Sus scrofa: one gene and its partners. The protein of the gene in region 3 interacts with the protein of the main gene of each other region in a biochemical or structural test. Links are inferred from orthologs where the notes say so. Each region holds a gene or a part of one and is shown on either strand. Other genes may lie near its edges.

Region 1 (2,671 bases), about 34 Mb from region 3:
AAGGATTTCCTTCCCTTTCTGCGGGGAGAGAAGACACTGTTTAAACAGGGAGGCGGCAGCCAGAACTATGAGCAAAGCTCATTCTCCCAGCAGTGACCTGCTGGACTGTTCCCACCAAGCCAATTTATCTCACGTTCACACGATTCTTTTTCTTTAGGGCCGCAACTGCGGCACATGGAAGTTCCTGGGCTAGGGGTCAAATCAGAGCCGCAGCTGCCGGCCTACACCACAGCCACAGCAAAAAAGGATCTGAGCTGCATCTGCAACCTACACAGCAACACCGGATCCTTAACCTACTGAGCGAGGCCAGGAATCAAACCTGCATCCTCATGGATACTAGTTGGGTTCTTAACAGGCTGAGCCACAATGGGAACTCCCCGTGTTCATGCATTTCTGTTTTGATTTTTCTTTCTTTCTTTCTTTCTTTTTTTTTTTAAGGGCTGAACCCGTTGGCACATGGAGGTTCCCAGGCAAGGGTCCAATTGGAGCTGTAGTTACCGGCCTACACCACAGCTCATGGCAATGCCAGATCCTTAACCCACTGAGCGAAGCCAGGCATCGAACTGGCATCCTCATGGATCCTAGCTGGGTTCTTTAACCACTGAGCCACGATAGGAACTCCTATTTCTGTCTTGGTGATCTCCCTCTGCTTGGAATTAATCCTCTTCCACATCCTCGCCCTCCCCCCAAATCTGCCCAGCTGCAAAATCCAGTTTCATTGTTTTCCTACTCATTAAGTCACCGTTTATACATCTTGGGGATGGAAATACAACACCTTAGAGAGAAAAAAAAATGTTCAAATAAAACTCATATCCTCTGGGAGGACTTTCCGGGTTATCCCCCTGCTCTGGAGTCAGCTTTCAGAAAGAAAGTGAAGGCACTGACACCCCAAACGGACAGAGAATTCACAAGGCATTGGGCTGAGCTATGAAATATGCATCTGCGATACTGTTTGAATAGCTAATACTCTGGAATTCCACCAAGTTCAAAGCTGCATTGTGGAGGCCTGACTCAGAAGCGCTACAGTGGTCTTTGCCCACTTGGACTCCAGGCCGCCCACCTTCATTCTTTTCTGCATATCTTCTCAAAAACGCAGAGGAAAACAAGACTGTATTTGTATTTTCTGATCTCAAACAACCAACGTTACCTGTGTATTTTAACTCAGAGCTCTAGGTATGGTTTCCTGTGGGTCGTTTCCTTCACTAGGGTTCTCTGAGTAAAAGAACCAAGACCTTCTAGTTGGCCAATGGCCAACTAGCCTCCAAATGTTCATTTACGGCTAGACCCTGTAGCCAAGGTCCAGCTGAACCAAGGTCAAGTGTTCACTTATGGCTAGAAGCTCTAGGCAAGATCTCTTACTACTTTCAGCTGCCAACGCCAAGAGAACAAGAAATGCACTGACACTGCAGCAAGAAAAGATGCAAGTCAAAGAGGAGAAGTAATTTTCTGTCAAGATGCTGGAATATACAGCAAAAGTTATCACAACCCTGTAAACCAACTATATTTCACTAAAACTTCAAAAAGATGCTGGAATAGTTAACTTGGCAAAGCGAAAGAACTGTCTTTCGGGGAGACTTTTTGTAACAGAAGAGCATTTCATGTCTCTGGATCAGTTGAGGCTTTACCTAAACAATAATTAAATGAATGTCTCCAGATGTGGTGGAGTCCAGGCCCATGGTCTCCCTTGAAAGAAACTGCTCTCGCTGGAAGGGAAGGACTTTTTCTAACACACTTCTCACCTCGATGAGCTCATAGAGCATGGCCGTACCCAGTCCAGCCTCAGCCACATGGCTCAGCGCCTGTGAGATCCTGGAGAGAGAGAGAGACAGCAACGCAAACATTAGGCCTGCCGCCTGCCCTCACCAGACTGGGCTGTATCCCAAGCTTCCCCTGCGCTGACCAGCCCGACCTACTTGTGGATCTGTTCATCTGAGAGTCCTCGGGGGTTACGGATAGAGATCTGTGGCACCTCATGGGGATACTAAGAGGAGAAAGTGACAAGTTACTGCCAAAGCACTTCACCCTGGGGCCTCTCCCCTGCCTCCCATTGTTGCCATAAAGTCGAGGCCTCACCTGTGCTGGAACCTGAAGCACCAGAGTGAAGCAGACATACTGCGAATCCTGGTCTTCGGCAGTGGCGGGGTGCAGGGTGATGGAGATCTCCCACGGTGACGATCTGCAGGTGGATGGAGTGGAGACCTGGGATGTGACTGGGCAGGGGCTTGAGGGCTGGGGAGGATGGTGGTGAGAAAGGAAAGCGGCCAGAGGAAGTAAGCATCGGGCTCTTTCTTGGGGGGCATTAAAGGAATAGTCTTTGTCTACATGACAGAAATATCTGAATCCAGGCACTCAGATACTTCATGGAGTCCTCTCCTTCCCAAGGGGACTCCTGCCCACCTCTAGTTAAATACATACCTGCTATTTCCTTTAACCACCTGTAGTTCATCCAGGTAGATTGACTCTAACACTTCAACTTCAGAGGGAAGGACCCTAGAGAGACAGGGGGAGACTGACTCACCATGACAGCTCTCCCTGTTAAACCCCACCAAGGCCACTGAAGACTGGCTCTGCAGAAAAATGGCAATCGGCCTGAGTGCACTCTCTTGTTAACCTCCATAAAGACAGATGGGGGAAACGTTTCCTTAAGCTGTCAAATGGCCAGGTAGGAAGC
Region 2 (4,209 bases), on a different chromosome or scaffold from region 3:
TTTTTTTTTTTTTTTAAACAGCAAGAGCCTGAAACAGCACCTTCCCAGCTGCTGCTTTTCCATCAGACAGGAGTGGCCCCAGCAGGGAGCTCTCACAGCTGACTAAGGCAGCAAACACACTCCGAGCCATGCTGCTATAAATCTAACCGCATTGGCGCTCACAGGACACTTCTTTCTGAACCAAGCAGGGCCCCGGGACTCTCCAACCAATGCAGGAGAGAGACCCGGCTCCTAACACAGAAAAGCGCCCATAGTATTCCCCCACCTACCCCACCACCTTTCCCACGAAACCAAACGTTGTTGAGTAAAAATGCCGGGGCTGCAGGAAAACCCTTTCTCCAGCAATCGGATGTTATGTTGCCCTGTTATTTATGATATCACCACACTACCATGATGGAATGCAAACTAATAAAACGTACTATAAATACGATTACACACCCCGCCATTTAATGCTAAATAATTAGACCATGACCTACAAGTAACAAAATAGCTAAGTGGAAAGGGGCACCGCTTACAACACTCCCCAGCAGTGGTCTGCCTCTGGTTACGACGTTTTTCATTTAAACGATGGGGGAGGGAGGTGCTGGCGGCACACCATCTCACACATAATAGGATTCTCGGACATGTTAGTGACCAGAGAAAAAGAACCCAGCTGGAGAAAACATTCTCTCCCATATGCCAGATAGGAGAGAAAACAATACCCCCGCCCCAAAAAAAAGGAGAAGGAAAATTAAAGGGTATGCATGTGGTTTCTGTAATAAGTTAATTTCAATACCATGCAGGAAAAAAAGGCTGACTGGAGCTGGCTGACTGTTTTCCAGTAAGAAGCCAGCAATATCAGCCCAGTTGGGAAACATAGAATCTTGACATTTTTGTGAAGGGTCAAAAAAGACCTAAGTAATAAAAGTGAAAGTCCACGTTCAAAAAGCTGTCATCGGATTTGTAGCTAACTTGGATATATTCTGAGTGTTTTAAACATACTCTTTTTCATTGTCCTGAAACACGAGTTATTAACAAAGAGGCTTATTTCGGAGGAAGTAAGAAGGGAAGGGATGTGGGAATACCAAGCTGCAAAAAGTGACAAAAAGTTTATTTTAATATATGTTGACTTTGTCAACAGCTCTGGAGTCCAGAGTGTGGAGGATTAACCTTGTGTTTATATACATCCAAACCTGTTTTCTAAAGGCATGTGTTTTAAATGCCAAAAATGATCTCTATGAGAGAAATGGAAGCTAGTTTGTTTAATGTGAAAACTGCCAAGTACCACTATAGTCACGTAGTGTCTCTGCTGGATTAATAGCCAACAAAGAAAAAACCACCAGCAGCAGCATTCACGCATAGTAACAAGGATGCAGACAGCCTGGGGCAAAGCTAGGTACATAAAACAGTTTTTCAGATAAAGTTTCACATGAGATTTCTTAGAGCTCTGCATTCAAAGCCCTATTCGGCTTGGAAGTATAAGTTTTAGGCTCATGGCAAGGTCCTCTCAACAACAGTGATTCTTTTAGATAAGGGAAATGGGAAACATTTTTTACAGAGAATTTCTTTCAATAGAAGAGTTAAATGAGTTAAAACACATCTGACAAGAGACAGTTTTTTCCACAAAGCTGACCATTTCTTCACCTTGAAGAAATGTTGTAAGACACAATAAAAGAGAGAGTAAGGATTAATCTGTGGCTCCATCTGTGGACTCTGGGACTCTGCTGAACTCTGCCCAATCGGTGTTTCTGGACAGGAGATGGAGCACCAAGAACTACACCCTCAAGCAGAATTTCTCATTTGATTTAACAGCAAAATAACTTCGTGCACCGGGCAAAACTGATTTAGCTATTCAGTACTACTAAGCATCACCCAAGGTATAAAATGTCAAGTTCAATGCAAAGCCGCCGAGAATCCGTATATTTGAATAGAAAATATATCAGGATGGTAGGCCAGCATCTGTTGCTTTCTAATTTGGAGAATAATTCCAGGCATAGGAGATCAAATATACTCCTAGGTTCAATACTAAGGGTTAAGGCCTGGCTATTCACCACCAATGGCCTGAGACTTAATAGACGGGCAGGTATGTAATTACATCAAGGCTCTAGATCTCAGTTCTCTCACATGCAAGGACAGGGAATTAAATGAGTTGTATTATAAGCCTCCTCCAGATCAAATATTCTATTAAACTCAAGCTATTCAAAAACTTGGAGTTTCAGGTGACTTCTGCAGAAGGAAGGATTCATAATAACATTTCCTTTAAGCAATTAATACATGGTTGGACTCCCCCCCCCACATCTGCAGGTTCTGTATTCACGGTTTCAACCAACTGCAAATCAAAAATATCTAGAAAAAAAATTCCAGAAAGTTCCAAAAAGCAAAACTTGAATTTGCCTCATGCAGGCAACCATATATAAGTATTTTTAACCTATAATCTATACAACATATTAGTACTAGTTTTATGCCTTAGGCATACCTCTGGTTCTTTGAAGGTACTTTCTTTGAATTTCCCTTGAGAAAGCACCGCTTTTAAAATACAGCTTAATTTTACCTGCTAAATATAGATTCACTTTTTGCTATATACTGTTAATTAGATTTCTGTCATCCCAAAGAGATTCACTATTGAACGTGTCACAGTCTCAAAGTCTGGCTTACATATAAAAATCCTGAAAGGTTTATTTCCATGAGTAATGAGATTTGCCCACCTCTTTGTATCCCCAACAGAGGAGTATAAGCATATATGGCTTGATATACCACCAGTGTGATGGTCATGAATATTAACTATGATTAAAAACTTACACAGGTACAAATAAATTTTGTCCTACCCACACAAAAATATTTGTTTGAATTACGAACATTAAACTAGTAATGGGACAAAAATAGTCTTTTTGAGGGACATGTATGCTGTGAGAAATAAAACACATATAGACTTTTTAAAGATGTGCTGAAAATTCAATTTTTAAAAAATGAAGCAAAAATTAAAAATCAGGAACCACTTACCAATCTATTTTCATCAAATACTTCAAACAAGAGTCTGTGATTAGATGGGTTTACCTGTAAGGGACAAAAATAATAATTGTTACTATTGATTTATTCTGAGGCATGTGGAAGTTCTGGGGCCAGGGACTGGACCTGAGCCACAGCAGTGACAATGCTGGATCCTTAACTCACTGAGCCACCAGGGAACTCCCAGATAATACTTTTAAAATGAGCAGAAATAATTCAACGAATGAAAAAAGAGACTGAAAGAATAAAATGCTTTTTAATGCACTCAAATCAGTTGTACAATATAAGCAATCTGCTCTTATGAAAATCCTCTATATACTAAATCAAGTTTTCTATGATTGATCGCTATATTATTTTACACCTAATATTTAGGCCTATAAGAAGGAGAAAATGGTTTAAGTCACTTTTCTAATGCGAGAAAGGATATTTCTAAACAGTTTCTTTTAAATTTATTTTTCTAGATAAACTTTTATTTTTAAAAGTTCCTAAGTCTCCGCTAAAAAGGCATCCTCATGCCTGTAGATCAAGGCTACATCCTCACAAAGGTCTATGTCCGAGGAAACCTCTAAGGCCTAAAAATAACAGCAATGATAAAAAAAAAAAAAGAATAAAACAGTAAAAGCATGTAAATAGTTAAAAAAAGCAAAACAAAACATTCCTATTGCATGTTTCCTTTTTAGGCACTATCTTCTTATTAAATATCAAAAATACATCATCTCATTTATTCTCAAAGCAACCCTATGATGTATAATTGTCACCCCGATTTTTACAAATGAGAAGCCGAGACCAGAAGGGTTAACTAACTTGCCCCAGAGCCCATAGCTGGTATGCAGGGCAACCAGGATCCCCATCAGGTCTAGCCTGCTCGTCTCCAAAGCCCACTCTCCGGACCATTAAAGAGACAAGGAAATAAAAGATGGTTCTGTTTCCAGCAACTGCGGGGTCAGTGTCAGAGCCACTAGGCCATGTCTGGTTTTTGCTTTTGTTTTTGTTTGTCTTTTTCGGGCTGCACCTGCAGCATATGGAAGTTCCCAGGCTAGGGGTCCAATCAGAGCTGTATCTGCCAGCCTACACCACAGCTCACAGCAATGCCAGATTCTTAACCCACTGAGCAAGGCCAGGGACTGAACCCGTGTCCTCATGGATATCAGTCGGGTTCATTACTGCTGAGCCACAACGGGAATTCTAGGTGATGTCTTTTTGCTTCTTTCTGTCTCTTCACCC
Region 3 (3,655 bases):
AATTTTGTATAAGGTATTTGGAGAGAGGTAACATTCACATAACTTGTACTACCGTATATTGTTATAATTGCTCTACTTCATTATTAGTTATTGTTAATTTCTCACTGCACCTAATGTATAAATTAAACTTTATCATAGGTATTTACGCATAGGAAAAATGGCATTAAATACGGTTCGGTACTATGCGTGGTTTTAGGCATCCACTGGGGTCTCAGAATGTATCCCCAAGAGTAAGGACGACTAGAATTGTTCTAACATAGCACATACTAGTTACACAGAGCTCTTAAAAGGTGGCTATAACAATTAATTTAAGCACTGAATGCAAACTGAATAGTGATATACTGGCATTTAGAATGTGTCATTTGGAATGTGAACACAATTTGCAATAAGACAGTCATTTCAAGATCTTAGATTCTGATGGGACCACATAGTAAAGCACTCAAAAAATAGTGATAGCTATACTTAAGAGCAAATACCTCTTGGTGATAGGGAACCTCGGTGTCTGCAATTTAAGGTAAATACCACTAGGTGGAAATGTTGTTACCTTATTCAATAAAGCAAAACAGAAAAGGTCTGCCTTCTTTTTTAAAACAAAATAAACCCTTTATTTTTACACACAAACACAACACACATGCACCTGAGTGGAGGCATTAAATCACTACATAAATGTTAAATAGTAGAGGGAATATAAGGAACTATGTTGAAAAGAAAAACATTTTATCAAAGTTAAGGGCTTGATAACACTGACATAACAAGGTTCTAATTATGCTCAGGCTTAATATCGGTGGTTTTTAACTGTTGTCTTGACCATTTTATAGGGGGAAGTCAGAGGAGAAAGCTAATCAAATAATTACTATGTTTAATACTTGAAAATTAATTGCCAGTCATCACAAGGCACAGCTCAAACATTCTCTCTTTATCCACCCAGTTCATATTCAGAGACAACAAGGAGGCATAAATAACCCAGCCATCTTCATTCCCATTAATTCATCATTACAGAGGGCACAAAATTAGTTTATTAAATAATATTAGTTCCCTCTTCTTTGCTATAGTTTTCTAGTTTTTTTCTGATCTATAAAGATAGGCTATTCAGCACAAATTTATTTTAATTCTTATTTCCAGAAGCGGTCAGATTTACTTTTTATCTCAATAGGTTCCTTACACAAAGTTCACAGGATTTTTTTCTCTCATAAGTCTAAAATTTACCTGCTTACTGATGTACTAAGTGGCATACAATTAACAAACTCTTGCTGATTACAAAGTTATTTGTGAAAGAAATCAATTACTTCTAGTTTTAACATTCCTGGTTATATGAGCGTTTCCAAATGAAAAACAATCAAATAAAAATAACTGCATCCACACATTTAACTCTAGAATAAATTAATTTTGGAAAAGAATGAACATTAAAAAATGCACTTCCAGGTTCTTACCTTTGGTGGTTTAAATGGATAATCAGATGAAAATGTGATATCCAGAAAAAATACACCACCTTCATATACAGAACCTGGTGGACCAAGTATAGTCGATCTCCATTCATAAATGTTATCTCCTTTAGGCCCAGCACTATTTAAAAGAAATTAAAAATCAATGTGTACATCTGTGAGCAATGAATATTAATATCTTAAACCAATTAAGTATCAAAGGCAAATTAGCAATCTAGAATAAACAGTAAATATATAAAAAATAAGCCCCAACTAACTTGTGCACGCATATGTATATAAACATGTTTGGAAATATTTCTAACTTACAGAAAAGCAAGAACAAGGAACACCTGTTTAACTTTATCCAGACTCTCCTTCTGTTAGCATTGTGCTCCATTTGTTCTATCATCTCCCTCTCTCCCTTCCTTCTCCCCCTCCTAAAATACATACACCCCACCAAACATATACACACACACACACACACAAAGCACACACACCCCACAGACACACAGAAAAAGTGTTTTTTTTCTGAGCCATTTGAGAGTAAGCTGAATATATCATGGCCCTTTCCCCATAAATATTTCAGTGGGCATTTTCTACAACCTATAATACAACTGCAATATAGCCATAATTTCAGTAAAAGTACAATCTATATGATATCTATAATCTGCAAAATAATTTTGTCAACTGACCAATAATGCCCCAAAAGATTTTTAGTTTTCCTTCAGATACATGATTCCAGTCTTGGTATTGATCGTCTATGCCCTTCCTGTGTCTTTAGTCCCCTTTAATAGAGAGAGCCTTTCAGTCTTACTTTGCCTTTTGTAATATCAACATTTTTGAAGAATGCAGTTCTTTTAATGGAATGCTCATCATTGTGAACCTGTCTGATATTTCCTCATGATTAGATGCAGAGAGTGCATTCCTGGCTAGAAGAGTACATAAGTGATGCTATGTTCTCAAGGTGTCACATCCAGAGGTACAATGGTGATGTTAATTTTCATTACCCAGATCAAATGCTGTCCCATTCTCCTACCTCTTACTTGGTATCTTTCCTCTGCAACCAATAAGCAACCTTTGGACACTTTAAGACCATGCAAATACCCTGGTCTTCACCAAATTTATTCCCCGGACTTAACATCAATTTGCGATTCTTGGTTGAACTAAACTTCATCATGATAGTGATAAAATCATCATTTTCCAACTTCAGCATTCCTCCATATTTACCAGCTGGCCCTTGAGCCCTCTCTTTTCCTGTTTGTATAAAAATGTGTTTTACAGATGAAGTTTCATGAGTTCCATTTTTTTTCCCCTAATGATTTAGAATTCTTACTGCATTTAATTATTTTGATGTTCAAACTGCCCCATATTTGGCCAGTGGAAATACTTTCAAAATGACCCCATATCGTTTTTTGGAACACTTCCTTATTTTCTGGCATAAATATGTTCCACGTTCCCACCCCTGAATCAGCCATTTCTTCAAAGAGCTGTGGTTCCTTTTAGTGAATGTTGTTCAAGCTAGTACCAAATTCCAAGTACATTACACTGTGTTCAAAACTATCATTTAATTTATAATATACAATGAGATAATTCAAATTAAATCCAAATTCAGTTGTTTGTAAGACACATCTAATATTCCTTAGACCCTCTTCAAATGTACATTACAGATTTCCATTTTTCCCTCAATTTTACATCACAGATTAACTTGTTTTTCTGAACTACGGTATATATAAAGCTTTTCTTAAGTGACCTATCAGTTTAGAAATGATCTGCATGTTTAGTTTAAAATAAGTGCATATCAGAATTGATAATGCAGGAGTTCCCGTTGTGGCGCAGTGGTTAACGAATCCGACTAGGAACCATGAGGTTGCAGACACGGCTAGGATCCCGCATTGCTGTGGCTCTGGCGTAGGCCGGTGACTACAGCTCCGATTCAACCCCTAGCCTGGGAACCTCCATGTGCCACAGGAGCGGCCCTAGAAAAGGCAAAAAAAGACCAAAAAAAAAAAAAAAAAAAAAAAAGAATTGATAATGCAACTGCATTAATTACAATAGGACATTCAGGTATAGGTTAAATGATTTAACCACATCTTATTAATTCTATAAAACATACACTGTAGACTGTAAAGATCAAGTAAGCAATGCTATCAATAATCAAATCTGTGCCCTGAAAACAGGTCATAGAAAAAGAGTGTAAAAACTTTGATAGTAAAATCAAAATGTTTCAAAAACCT

Evidence for each region.
Region 1: the proteins of UBE2E3 (region 3) and RNF25 form a complex in vitro, tested with the Homo sapiens proteins (2 studies listed by BioGRID, with this or other methods). The link is inferred for Sus scrofa from reciprocal best matches to the Homo sapiens genes UBE2E3 and RNF25.
Region 2: the proteins of UBE2E3 (region 3) and NEDD4L form a complex in vitro, tested with the Homo sapiens proteins (3 studies listed by BioGRID). The link is inferred for Sus scrofa from reciprocal best matches to the Homo sapiens genes UBE2E3 and NEDD4L.

The regions. Positions count from the first base shown.
Region 1 is NC_010457.5:120,714,229-120,716,899, forward strand, and holds part of RNF25 (E3 ubiquitin-protein ligase RNF25), read right to left. Parts: intron 2,491-2,671; coding exon 2,416-2,490; intron 2,177-2,415; coding exon 2,074-2,176; intron 1,982-2,073; coding exon 1,914-1,981; intron 1,810-1,913; coding exon 1,740-1,809; intron 19-1,739; coding exon 1-18. UniProt on the Homo sapiens protein: E3 ubiquitin-protein ligase that plays a key role in the RNF14-RNF25 translation quality control pathway, a pathway that takes place when a ribosome has stalled during translation, and which promotes ubiquitination and degradation of translation factors on stalled ribosomes.
Region 2 is NC_010443.5:162,513,890-162,518,098, forward strand, and holds the start of NEDD4L (E3 ubiquitin-protein ligase NEDD4-like), read right to left. Parts: upstream 2,931-4,209; 5' UTR 1-2,930. UniProt on the Homo sapiens protein: E3 ubiquitin-protein ligase that mediates the polyubiquitination of lysine and cysteine residues on target proteins and is thereby implicated in the regulation of various signaling pathways including autophagy, innate immunity or DNA repair.
Region 3 is NC_010457.5:86,554,322-86,557,976, reverse strand, and holds part of UBE2E3 (ubiquitin-conjugating enzyme E2 E3), read right to left. Parts: intron 1,564-3,655; coding exon 1,431-1,563; intron 1-1,430. UniProt on the Homo sapiens protein: Accepts ubiquitin from the E1 complex and catalyzes its covalent attachment to other proteins. In vitro catalyzes 'Lys-11'- and 'Lys-48'-, as well as 'Lys-63'-linked polyubiquitination.